3 linked regions of the Saccharomyces cerevisiae S288C genome follow. Changing the gene in region 1 together with any one later gene gives a genetic interaction. Each region holds a gene or a part of one and is shown in the gene's direction. Other genes may lie near its edges. The genes, in order: BUR2, CAK1 and CTK2.

What was found.
Region 2: mutations in BUR2 (region 1) and CAK1 impair growth when combined (synthetic growth defect), as found in Saccharomyces cerevisiae (one study listed by BioGRID).
Region 3: mutations in BUR2 (region 1) and CTK2 are lethal when combined (synthetic lethality), as found in Saccharomyces cerevisiae (one study listed by BioGRID).

The regions. Positions count from the first base shown.
Region 1 is NC_001144.5:587,541-591,145, forward strand, and holds BUR2 (Bur2p), read left to right. Parts: upstream 1-1,813; coding exon 1,814-3,001; downstream 3,002-3,605. Other genes in the region: UCC1 (Ucc1p), read left to right, coding at 1-33; YLR225C (uncharacterized protein), read right to left, coding at 155-1,378; ADY4 (Ady4p), read right to left, coding at 3,022-3,605. UniProt on the Saccharomyces cerevisiae protein: Component of the BUR kinase complex involved in transcription regulation.
Region 2 is NC_001138.5:77,417-80,879, reverse strand, and holds CAK1 (cyclin-dependent protein kinase-activating kinase CAK1), read left to right. Parts: upstream 1-1,718; coding exon 1,719-2,825; downstream 2,826-3,463. Other genes in the region: GTPase-activating protein GYP8, read left to right, coding at 1-461; putative ATP-binding cassette family ATPase CAF16, read left to right, coding at 667-1,536; AGX1 (alanine--glyoxylate transaminase), read right to left, coding at 2,892-3,463.
Region 3 is NC_001142.9:422,497-425,779, reverse strand, and holds CTK2 (Ctk2p), read left to right. Parts: upstream 1-1,670; coding exon 1,671-2,642; downstream 2,643-3,283. Other genes in the region: CYR1 (adenylate cyclase), read right to left, coding at 1-623; YJL007C (uncharacterized protein), read left to right, coding at 2,768-3,082. UniProt on the Saccharomyces cerevisiae protein: Cyclin subunit of the CTDK-I complex, which hyperphosphorylates the C-terminal heptapeptide repeat domain (CTD) of the largest RNA polymerase II subunit.

The DNA.
Region 1 (3,605 bases):
CCCAACTGGAATACCCCTTATCTTCGAAGATGAAAAAAAAATTTATCAATTAGTCTATAATATATGTGTATATACGTCTATGCACCTACCTACTTATAAATGGATATAATATTCTTGCAATGATGAAAATATGTATAGTCAAATTTCATTTTTTTCAATTGATAAATGTACTTTCAATGATGGAAACTCCTTCATCGTCATCGAATTTAGACTTCTGGCAGAATTGGTAAATGAATGGCTTCATGTTTGCCAGATTTTCAGCAATAGACCTAATGAAAGCGGGCAGCTCACTCATTATATCGTACCTATTGACTAATCTTAAATTAGATTCTTCAAAACCACGCGGAAATGAAATGGATGTAGGATATTTCCAACCATTTTGCTTATCCTCTTTTGTAGATGGAAATTTAACAGCATGATCATTTACACTTGACCCGACCTCCAAAATTTTGTCCTTATCACTAACCGCCCATATAGTCACTGTAGTGCTGCCATATTCTTTTGTTGTGGTGAATTCAATACACATCATCGAACGCTTCTCACCATTGAAACAAAGAAAATTCCATTTACTAGCCGCCTTATTGGGTATTAGCCCCTGGACAGCATCCAGATACAACATAGGCGTGTCCTTCAAGTCCAGCTTCACAGGTTTATCGTTTTTCTTGTATGAGATGGTACCATTGCAAAAACCTCTAGGAACAAAAACATGTCTTATCATTTTTCTGGACGTACTAGAAGAGTCTCTTTTTGCTAACTCTTCCAAGCTGATGCTCTTGTCAAGGTAATAATTGGAACCGTCCGGGTTTATTATGAATCCTTCTTGTAAATTTACGGTAATGTCAACCTTCAAATCTTTTAGTAAACAGCTTGTACTTCCCTTCGGAATATCTATCTTAATTAATAATTGAGCAAATCCACTGGAGGAAGAATTTTCCAAAGGTACGAAGTGAAACGTAACATTGTCCGATTCAACTTTTAACGTATCAAAATCTTTGATATTATCAATTTTAAAGCTTTCCCATATATCAATGTCTTCTTCAGAGTTTTCCTCACTGCTGGCTTTAAATATTTTGAAATTTAACTGAAAACCTTTGTATATACCGCCCATAACACTGGAATATAATAGTTGAATTAATCCACATTTGCCGTTGGTGAGATCCGTAAAATACAGAGTTTGTGTCTCTATTCTTGTTTCCGTTGGATTTCTTACTGCTTTTAATAAACTATGTGACTTGAACTTTTTGTGATTTGACGTCCTGCAAAACCATTCTAGTTTCGATGTATCCTGAAATTTAGTATAATTAGCATGATCCTTCTCGGATAAAACTTCCTTAACGGGGGCAAATTTCGTCTTCTCCTTTTTGATCGCAACCGCCATTTTTTCTTTGCTCTATGATTTTTATGTTAATTAAACTGTTCGTTGCCCTAAAATTTTGAAAATTTCTCGAATATTTAGAGAGAATCCGTCACTATTTTAGTATCTATCTTGTCTATTTATATATAAAATCTCATTCCCCTGTTATGGTTTTTGCCAAGCCCTATCCCAAAAAACCAAATGATACATGATAAACCTATTTATCCTCTTTAACAGACCTATCGTTTAAAGCTTTTTTATTGCAAACCCTATTCATTATGGCTTTTTGACCTAGGTCTCATTGTGACTTCTATTTTTCACTGTTCAGTAAAAAAAGAAAAGTGATTAAAAAGTATCACTATTTCTGTTAGAAAGCAAGTAGCTATTTTGATTGGTAATTATATACACATATTGAAGGAGGCCGTAGTATTTTCGTTTAAAATATATTACAGTAAGATAATGTCTGCTACATCTTCAAGTGGTGACGTGAAAAAATTTCAAGCTGTACCAAAACCAACGAGCAATGCATCACCACCACCAGCATCGAGTGGGTTTAACGCAAGGACCCTATGGCCGGATTTGATAGAAACACCAGAAAACCAGTGGGTTTTTGAGTGCAAAGATATTATTGAAAAGATAGGCACTAATGGACCGATAGCAGTGGAAATAAAAAAAAATATGGAAAAATGCTTAATGTACTTTTACACACTTAAAAAAAAATTAAATCTTTTTGATCACACCTATACGGCATCATGCATTCTATTTTACAGGTATTGGTTCATATATGGAATACCTACAGCCATAACTGAATGTATTCATATATCACAGGGAATTCTGGTCACCGCTTGCAAAACAATGGAGAATAATAGGCCTATAGAGGCCTATATTAAGGCGACTTGTGAGTTTTTGATGCAAAATATACCGTCTTTAAAAAGTCGAACAAATATTGATAAACTTAAATGGGAATTTAGAGATAAGTTAGTGACGAATGAAAAAAAAATACTATGTTTATTTGGCTTTGACTTAAATATCAGTAATCCAAAAGAATTGATTGAAGAAGTGTTCAGTGGCTATTATAGATTCAACAGGGATCACAATCTGCCAGAAAACTTTAAAAAAGCTTTTCCAAAAATTCTTCAAGAATCAAGAAATTTTATGGTCCAAGCTGTCACCCAGCCAGTTTCTTTATTGTGCGACGGTTATACGTTCATTGTACTATCTCTCATATACTGTGGTTTAGAGTATAAAAAGCTTGTAGACAAAGATTTCAGATATCCGAAAAACTTCTTCAAGGATAGATTCCCTATCGAAGTAACGCCGGAAAATTTTGCCAATATCTTTACCGATTACAAGTTACTGGAAGAGAATTTTTTCAACTTAAAAAGTAATAAAGGTGCTAAATTACAAATTGATTCAAGCATGATTGATTCGGTGATTGACGAAAGTGGCGATGTGGAAAATGAAGTTTCAGAAATCTCTGATCCGTTTAACTACGAGTTGATTAAATCCGGTGAGGTGAAGGAAGAGTTTTTGAATCATATTGAAACAAGGGTTAAAGATTTACTAGATAAGGCTAAACAAGAAAGTATGAAGAGAAAGGCTAAAGATCCTATAAGAACCCCAGATGCCAAAAAACCTAAAATATAAAAATAGAGTACAAGTTATGTTTAATTGGAGGGATCAGTAAAGGTTTGATATATACGTGACAAAATGTCCGGCAAGTTCCCTATGTTATCCTGATAGCAATATTTCCAATACTCAATCCAATGATCATCTGTTTCTGGATCTTTAGGTGAGTCAAAGCGCAGTTTCTGCTTCAATTTTGTTTTCATCTTGTCTATTATTATTCTGGGATGTCTGAATTGGTAAGTTCGGGGATGATAATCGTCCAGAGATTCTGAACAGTCATTATCTTCGGATATTTTTTCAGCAACAAGTAATTTCCCCTCCATAGCAGTCAACAGTACCTTAGGTAGTTGGTAGTCAGTTACTTCATCAGGATTGTCACAAGCATCAATAATATTTTCGATGATACATAAGCATTCTATGGTCAATTTATCCATTTCAGATGATGCTTCGAATGTGTATTCATTATCTTGCATATAGTATAGTTTTAATACATAAAAAAACTGGATAACTTTAAATTGAACACCTGATGAAAGTAATAAGCCTTCCAGAATTTTATTCAAGCAGCATATAATCTGAGGGTCATTTTTAAGTTTGAAAGTTATTGACAGAATATTTTTTTGAA
Region 2 (3,463 bases), on another chromosome or scaffold:
GAAAAGATGCGACTACTGCCAGCAAGAAGGCTTTGAAACGGGTGAGTCTTAATAAATATAGTGCATTACTCAATACAGCATGTGGAAAGCCAGGATGCTTCGATATGAGCACCATTATCTTCTATTTGAGCGAACAAACAAAGATGAACGAGCATTACAAGGAAGAAAAGTATCATGGTGTCGCCGCCAGATCCAAGACAAGGGCGTTGGTCCAAAGACTTGGCCATTTTTTACCCTCCAAATATAACAGGTGGAGCAAAATTTCTTTACTTATCGGGATTGTAGCTATCCTGTACCAATTACGGACTACAAGGTCGTTGAGTTTAGTACTCAATCTACGTTACATGATCTCCACAAAGTTGAAAGACTTATCACATATAAATATAAATTTGCACCACGTTAGTCACATCTGGGTGGATCCGATTAGGGACATTTTGAAACTGGGGCATCCAACTAGATAGCATACAATATACCTTATATACCCATGACATAGAAACAAACTCATATGTAAGGTATTATTATAAAGTGCTTCTTTAAAATTCGCTGCGGAAATTTCTTCGAGGATGACTCAAATAAGAAAAAACGAAAATTCTGAAAGAGAGATTTTTAGTATGGAGAAAACCAGTACTCCTGCATAAGATATCAAGATATTAGATAACTCTCAAGATGGTTTCCCAATTTGCTATTGAGGTGCGTAACCTAACGTACAAATTCAAAGAAAGCTCCGATCCGTCAGTTGTTGATATCAATCTTCAAATCCCATGGAATACAAGATCTTTAGTTGTGGGTGCCAATGGTGCTGGTAAATCCACCCTTTTGAAATTACTAAGCGGTAAGCATCTTTGCCTTGATGGAAAAATCCTGGTCAATGGTCTTGATCCATTCAGTCCATTATCTATGAATCAAGTGGACGATGATGAAAGTGTTGAAGATTCGACGAACTACCAAACGACCACTTATCTAGGTACGGAATGGTGCCATATGAGTATCATTAATAGGGATATCGGCGTCTTGGAACTATTAAAAAGTATTGGATTCGATCATTTTAGGGAAAGAGGTGAAAGATTGGTTAGAATCCTGGACATCGATGTACGTTGGAGAATGCACAGGTTAAGTGATGGACAAAAGAGAAGAGTTCAGTTAGCCATGGGGCTCTTGAAACCTTGGAGAGTTTTACTACTTGATGAGGTCACTGTGGATCTCGATGTTATTGCCAGAGCAAGACTTCTGGAGTTTTTAAAGTGGGAGACCGAAACCAGAAGATGCTCAGTGGTCTACGCTACACATATTTTTGACGGCTTGGCCAAATGGCCTAACCAAGTATACCATATGAAATCAGGTAAGATTGTGGATAATTTAGATTATCAGAAAGACGTAGAGTTCTCTGAAGTGGTCAATGCTAAAGTTAATGGACAAGTGGCCTTTGAAAATGACAACAATAAGGTTGTTATTAGTAAAGTGAATAGTTTGCATCCATTAGCACTAGAATGGTTGAAACGTGATAATCAAATTCCTGACAAAGAGATTGGTATATAACTGAGTATATATAACTGCAAAGACCCCCTGTATAGAAAATATGTATCTTAGTGGAAAATGTGATTTGACTATTTAAGTTATAGAAGTAGTTTGTGATCCTAAAAAAAGGAAAACGACAGAAGTCTCATAGAAGCAAAGAGGCCAGATGAAGAAGAGAGGCAACAAAATTCACGCCCATCTTAATGAAACTGGATAGTATAGACATTACACACTGTCAGTTGGTCAAATCTACTAGAACTGCTAGGATTTATAGGTCGGATACATATGCCATTAAATGTCTAGCACTAGATTTCGATATCCCGCCACATAACGCCAAATTCGAAGTATCGATATTAAACAAACTGGGCAACAAATGTAAGCACATCTTACCTCTTCTAGAGTCTAAGGCTACCGATAATAATGACCTATTGTTGTTGTTTCCCTTTGAAGAGATGAACCTTTATGAGTTCATGCAAATGCACTATAAAAGAGATAGAAGAAAAAAAAATCCCTATTACGATTTGCTAAATCCCAGTATCCCAATTGTTGCGGACCCCCCCGTTCAGAAATATACTAATCAATTGGACGTCAATCGGTATTCTTTGTCCTTTTTCCGGCAAATGGTTGAAGGGATTGCATTCTTACATGAGAACAAGATCATTCACCGCGACATCAAACCGCAAAATATCATGCTAACAAACAATACCAGCACCGTATCCCCAAAGTTGTACATAATTGATTTTGGCATCTCTTATGACATGGCAAATAACTCACAAACAAGTGCGGAACCCATGGATAGCAAGGTGACGGATATAAGCACAGGAATTTACAAGGCCCCAGAAGTGCTTTTTGGAGTAAAATGCTATGATGGTGGCGTGGACGTGTGGTCGTTGTTGATAATTATTTCTCAGTGGTTCCAGAGAGAAACAAGCCGTATGGGGCACGTTCCGGCCATGATTGATGACGGCAGCGACGACATGAACTCAGATGGAAGCGATTTCAGACTGATTTGCTCAATATTCGAAAAGTTGGGCATACCGTCCATTCAGAAATGGGAAGAGGTTGCGCAACACGGCTCGGTTGATGCATTTGTTGGTATGTTTGGTGCAGATGGCGATGGCAAGTATGTACTGGACCAGGAGAAAGATGTACAGATTAGCATTGTTGAGAGGAATATGCCTCGACTGGACGAGATTGCGGATGTCAAAGTCAAGCAGAAGTTCATTAATTGTATCCTGGGGATGGTTTCATTTTCACCAAACGAAAGATGGAGCTGTCAAAGAATCTTGCAAGAATTAGAAAAGCCATAATAAGAAGAATATATAGGTACATATATATATATATATATATATATGAAATGAAAAGTACGAGGGTAATCACTTTTTCCTCTGAAGAGCTAGTTTTATTAAGTCGAAGCAGTTCTTCATGTACGGTAAATTCTTGTTGCAAGCGGTCACACCCATATGTCCAATACGGATATACTTGGGTCCGATGTCCTTGTGAATACCTCCGGCAATGACTACACCGTGTGACTTTAAAAAAGCAATGACATCAGGAGGATCTGCTACGTATACGGCTGTCAACCCGTGCGCAGACATGTTAGAAGGATACCTACTGACGGATGTCAATTGCAAGCCATTAACCAAACTGTCTTTAAACCAATCACTCATTTCACGGTGCAAATCCCATCTCTTATGCAACCCCTCTTCGAGAATTTCTTTCAAGGCTACATCAAGGCTATTAATTAGTTGTACGGGTGGGGTTGCAAAATAAGCTCCTTTACCAGCCTCATAATTTTCCATTATTGGTGTCCATCTTCTCAACGAGGAAAAATACCCATGTACATGACCATTTTTGCTGTCGTTGAGTGCATAATCCATGAATCTGCTACTGCATAGCGAGATAGAAAGACCCGCTGGAGCGCCAATAGCCTTTTGCGAAGCAGTCA
Region 3 (3,283 bases), on another chromosome or scaffold:
TTAGCAGGTGCAGGATTTACCGTTGAAAGGGAAAGGTTAGCAACTTTACTTTCCTTTCCTGACTTATTGCCATCGTGACTGTTTGACCCTGAAAACCTTTTGAATAGGGTTTCCGCTAATGATGGCTTCCTATTGGGAAAAAACTGAACATGATGATGATCATGATGACCGTCATGATGGTTATGAGTAGATGTGTAGTTGTGCGTCTTGGATGAATTCAAAGCGTAACCGTGGTCTTTATTATCATCATGAGTACTATTCGCGCTCGTCATTGAAAGACTGCTCAATGTTTTCTTCAGTAAATATGGACCCCTTTTGATTTTCGGTTCTGTCGGCCTTGGATGTTCCACGTTCGAAATACTTACATCATCCATACCATTTGGAGTGATACTCTCCCTGCTTTTGGTCATAGAAAGCGACCGTGGGCTGTAATAACTATATGCGCTATTCCTTCTTGATTTGTGACCACTATTTTGTTCGTGACGCTTCTTGACTTTTGGTACCTCATCATGAATGCTTCTATCGTTTGCTTCCGTAGGTGAGCTCTGCTCTATCTGTTGTTCTTGTTCTTCCTGTCGCTGAGGGCCAGAAATTTCCGAACCAGTATCAGGTTTTGATGACATTTCGACCTAGGGATTTCGTTTGCTGTTGCTTTAGCTCGTTTCGCAATGGTTAGCGACAATAGTAAAGATATGCTATTTTTGGTTGTGAACTGCAGCAAGAGGTCTCCTTATGCTTTCTCTCCTCTGTTACTATACTTCCCAGCTGTCTTTACTGAACTTTGGAAGAAAATACACTTTTTTAGAGTCGCTTTTCTTATGGTAAGTCCCCCCTGCTTTCCTTCCAAAATACAAAAAAAAAAAAAAAAAAAAAGTAAGAAAAAGGAAGTGAAAAAATAAGGTTATGATTGAATATTTAGGTTTGATAGAGGAGAAAGTAAGGAAGGTCTCAGTTCAGTCTGCCATTCCAATTTGAAACATAGAATTTCAGTGATTAACAATGCAATTGAACAATTGAACACAGAGAAGAAGAAGAACGAGAACTGACTCTAAATCTGGCATTTTATCCTTTTTTATGGCTATTTACATTGGGAGCTAGGCGAAATGCATATTTGTTTACTTTCTGGCATTTACAAAATCATTTTTTAAAGGGTATGACCTACTCTAATGCGCTTTTCTGTAGAACAACGCAGGGAACGGTATTTGATGTTTTCAATGATGTATGACTTATATAACATCTATTTCCTAGGATTTTTAAATAAGATGGAGGGTTGGCCGAGTGGTCTAAGGCGGCAGACTTAAGATCTGTTGGACGGTTGTCCGCGCGAGTTCGAACCTCGCATCCTTCAGTATTTTTTGTCCTTATCTTTTTGCTGCACCGAAAGCACTCATGAAGTCTACGGCTTGATGCACACCGTTTGGGAACCTTTGCGATCCCACGTACCTAAATGGTCCTTTTCGGTACAACTTGCTGAAGAATCACTGTGTGGCGGGTAATGCTCTCTTTATACTTGCATTGCGAAAATCCGCGATGATCAAAAATCCAAACAAGTACTGTCCTGAAAGCCGTCTTTATACACATAGATATATATATATATATATATATATCTGTATCTATAGAGCGAGAGGAGATATAGAGCCAGCAAAACTAAGAAAATTACGTACTTTGATATGCCTAGCACGTTTGAATCCCAGCTTTTTTTTTCGAGACCGTTTCTGTCTAAAAGGCAAATTCAAAGAGCCCAAAAGAATACAATATCGGACTATCGAAATTACAACCAGAAAAAACTTGCCGTGTTCAAATTTCTAAGTGACTTGTGTGTTCAGCTGAAATTTCCACGGAAGACTTTAGAAACAGCAGTATACTTTTACCAAAGATACCACCTCTTTAATCGCTTCGAGACCGAGGTTTGCTACACTGTAGCGACAAGCTGCCTGACTTTGGGCTGTAAAGAAGTTGAGACAATTAAAAAAACAAATGATATATGTACTTTGTCATTACGATTGAGGAATGTGGTTAAAATCAATACGGACATTTTGGAAAATTTTAAAAAAAGGGTATTTCAAATAGAACTTCGGATATTAGAGTCATGCTCATTCGATTATAGAGTCAACAATTACGTTCATATTGATGAATATGTTATAAAAATTGGTAGGGAGCTATCCTTTGATTATAAGTTGTGCAATCTGGCTTGGGTAATTGCTTATGATGCTTTGAAGCTAGAAACTATTTTAGTCATACCCCAACATTCCATTGCATTGGCCATTTTGAAAATAGCATATGAATTACTAGATAATAAGAATTGGTCAAGTAAAAGGTATTCTTTATTTGAAACAGACGAGAAATCCGTAAATGAAGCTTATTTTGATATAGTCAATTTTTACATCAATTCATTCGATATGTGCGATCTACAACGTCATTTACCGGCTGATTTGCTGCCGATTGGCGTTGAAAGGTTTATGGAACTGAAAAAAAACGCAGGACCAGAATCTGGATTGCCGCAAATACCAGATCACCTGTTGAATGCCGATCCTTATATCACTATTACTAGAGATAATAATGTCCAAGAAAGAAGATATGTACTTTCACTGGAGCTAATTAATGGCGAGTCCAGCATAAATAGTTCTACAAGACATGCATAGAAAGTCCTACTATAAACTTAAATAAGATCATCATTATAAACTTTCTTTTACACAAGTAATAAGTACCTTTTTTTATCTCAAAACATGAATGTTGAGCTTCGAGGTTTAATTCACAAAAAAAGAAAATGTGCTCCAGGGGAGGTTCGAACTCTCGACCTTCAGATTATGAGACTGACGCTCTTCCTACTGAGCTACTGAAGCATACAAAGGATGTTGGGGAAGAAAAACAAACTTTACATCAAATATTTGCGGATTCCATGGTTATTAAAGGATATAGCACCGGGTATACAGGACATACTAGAAGTTCTCCAGGGGATCTTGTAATCCACAAAAGAGAATTGATATTTTCACATAATATTGTCATTATTGTTTCCCCAATTTATATGATATCATTCATTATTCTGTTACACTATCAGTCCTGGCATTTCAGCATCTATTAAATCTGATGACTGTTTTCTCAATCTTCATGCCATCTTGGTACATCGTACATGATAATATATTAGTAATATGAATACTATTCGATAGATTATAGTTGATCCTCATTAGGACATCTATCGTAACAATGGGAATGTTCATATCATACATTAATTTATACGAGTTGTTCAGACAGTAGTATAAGGCAAAGATCTTTTACTTGAAAG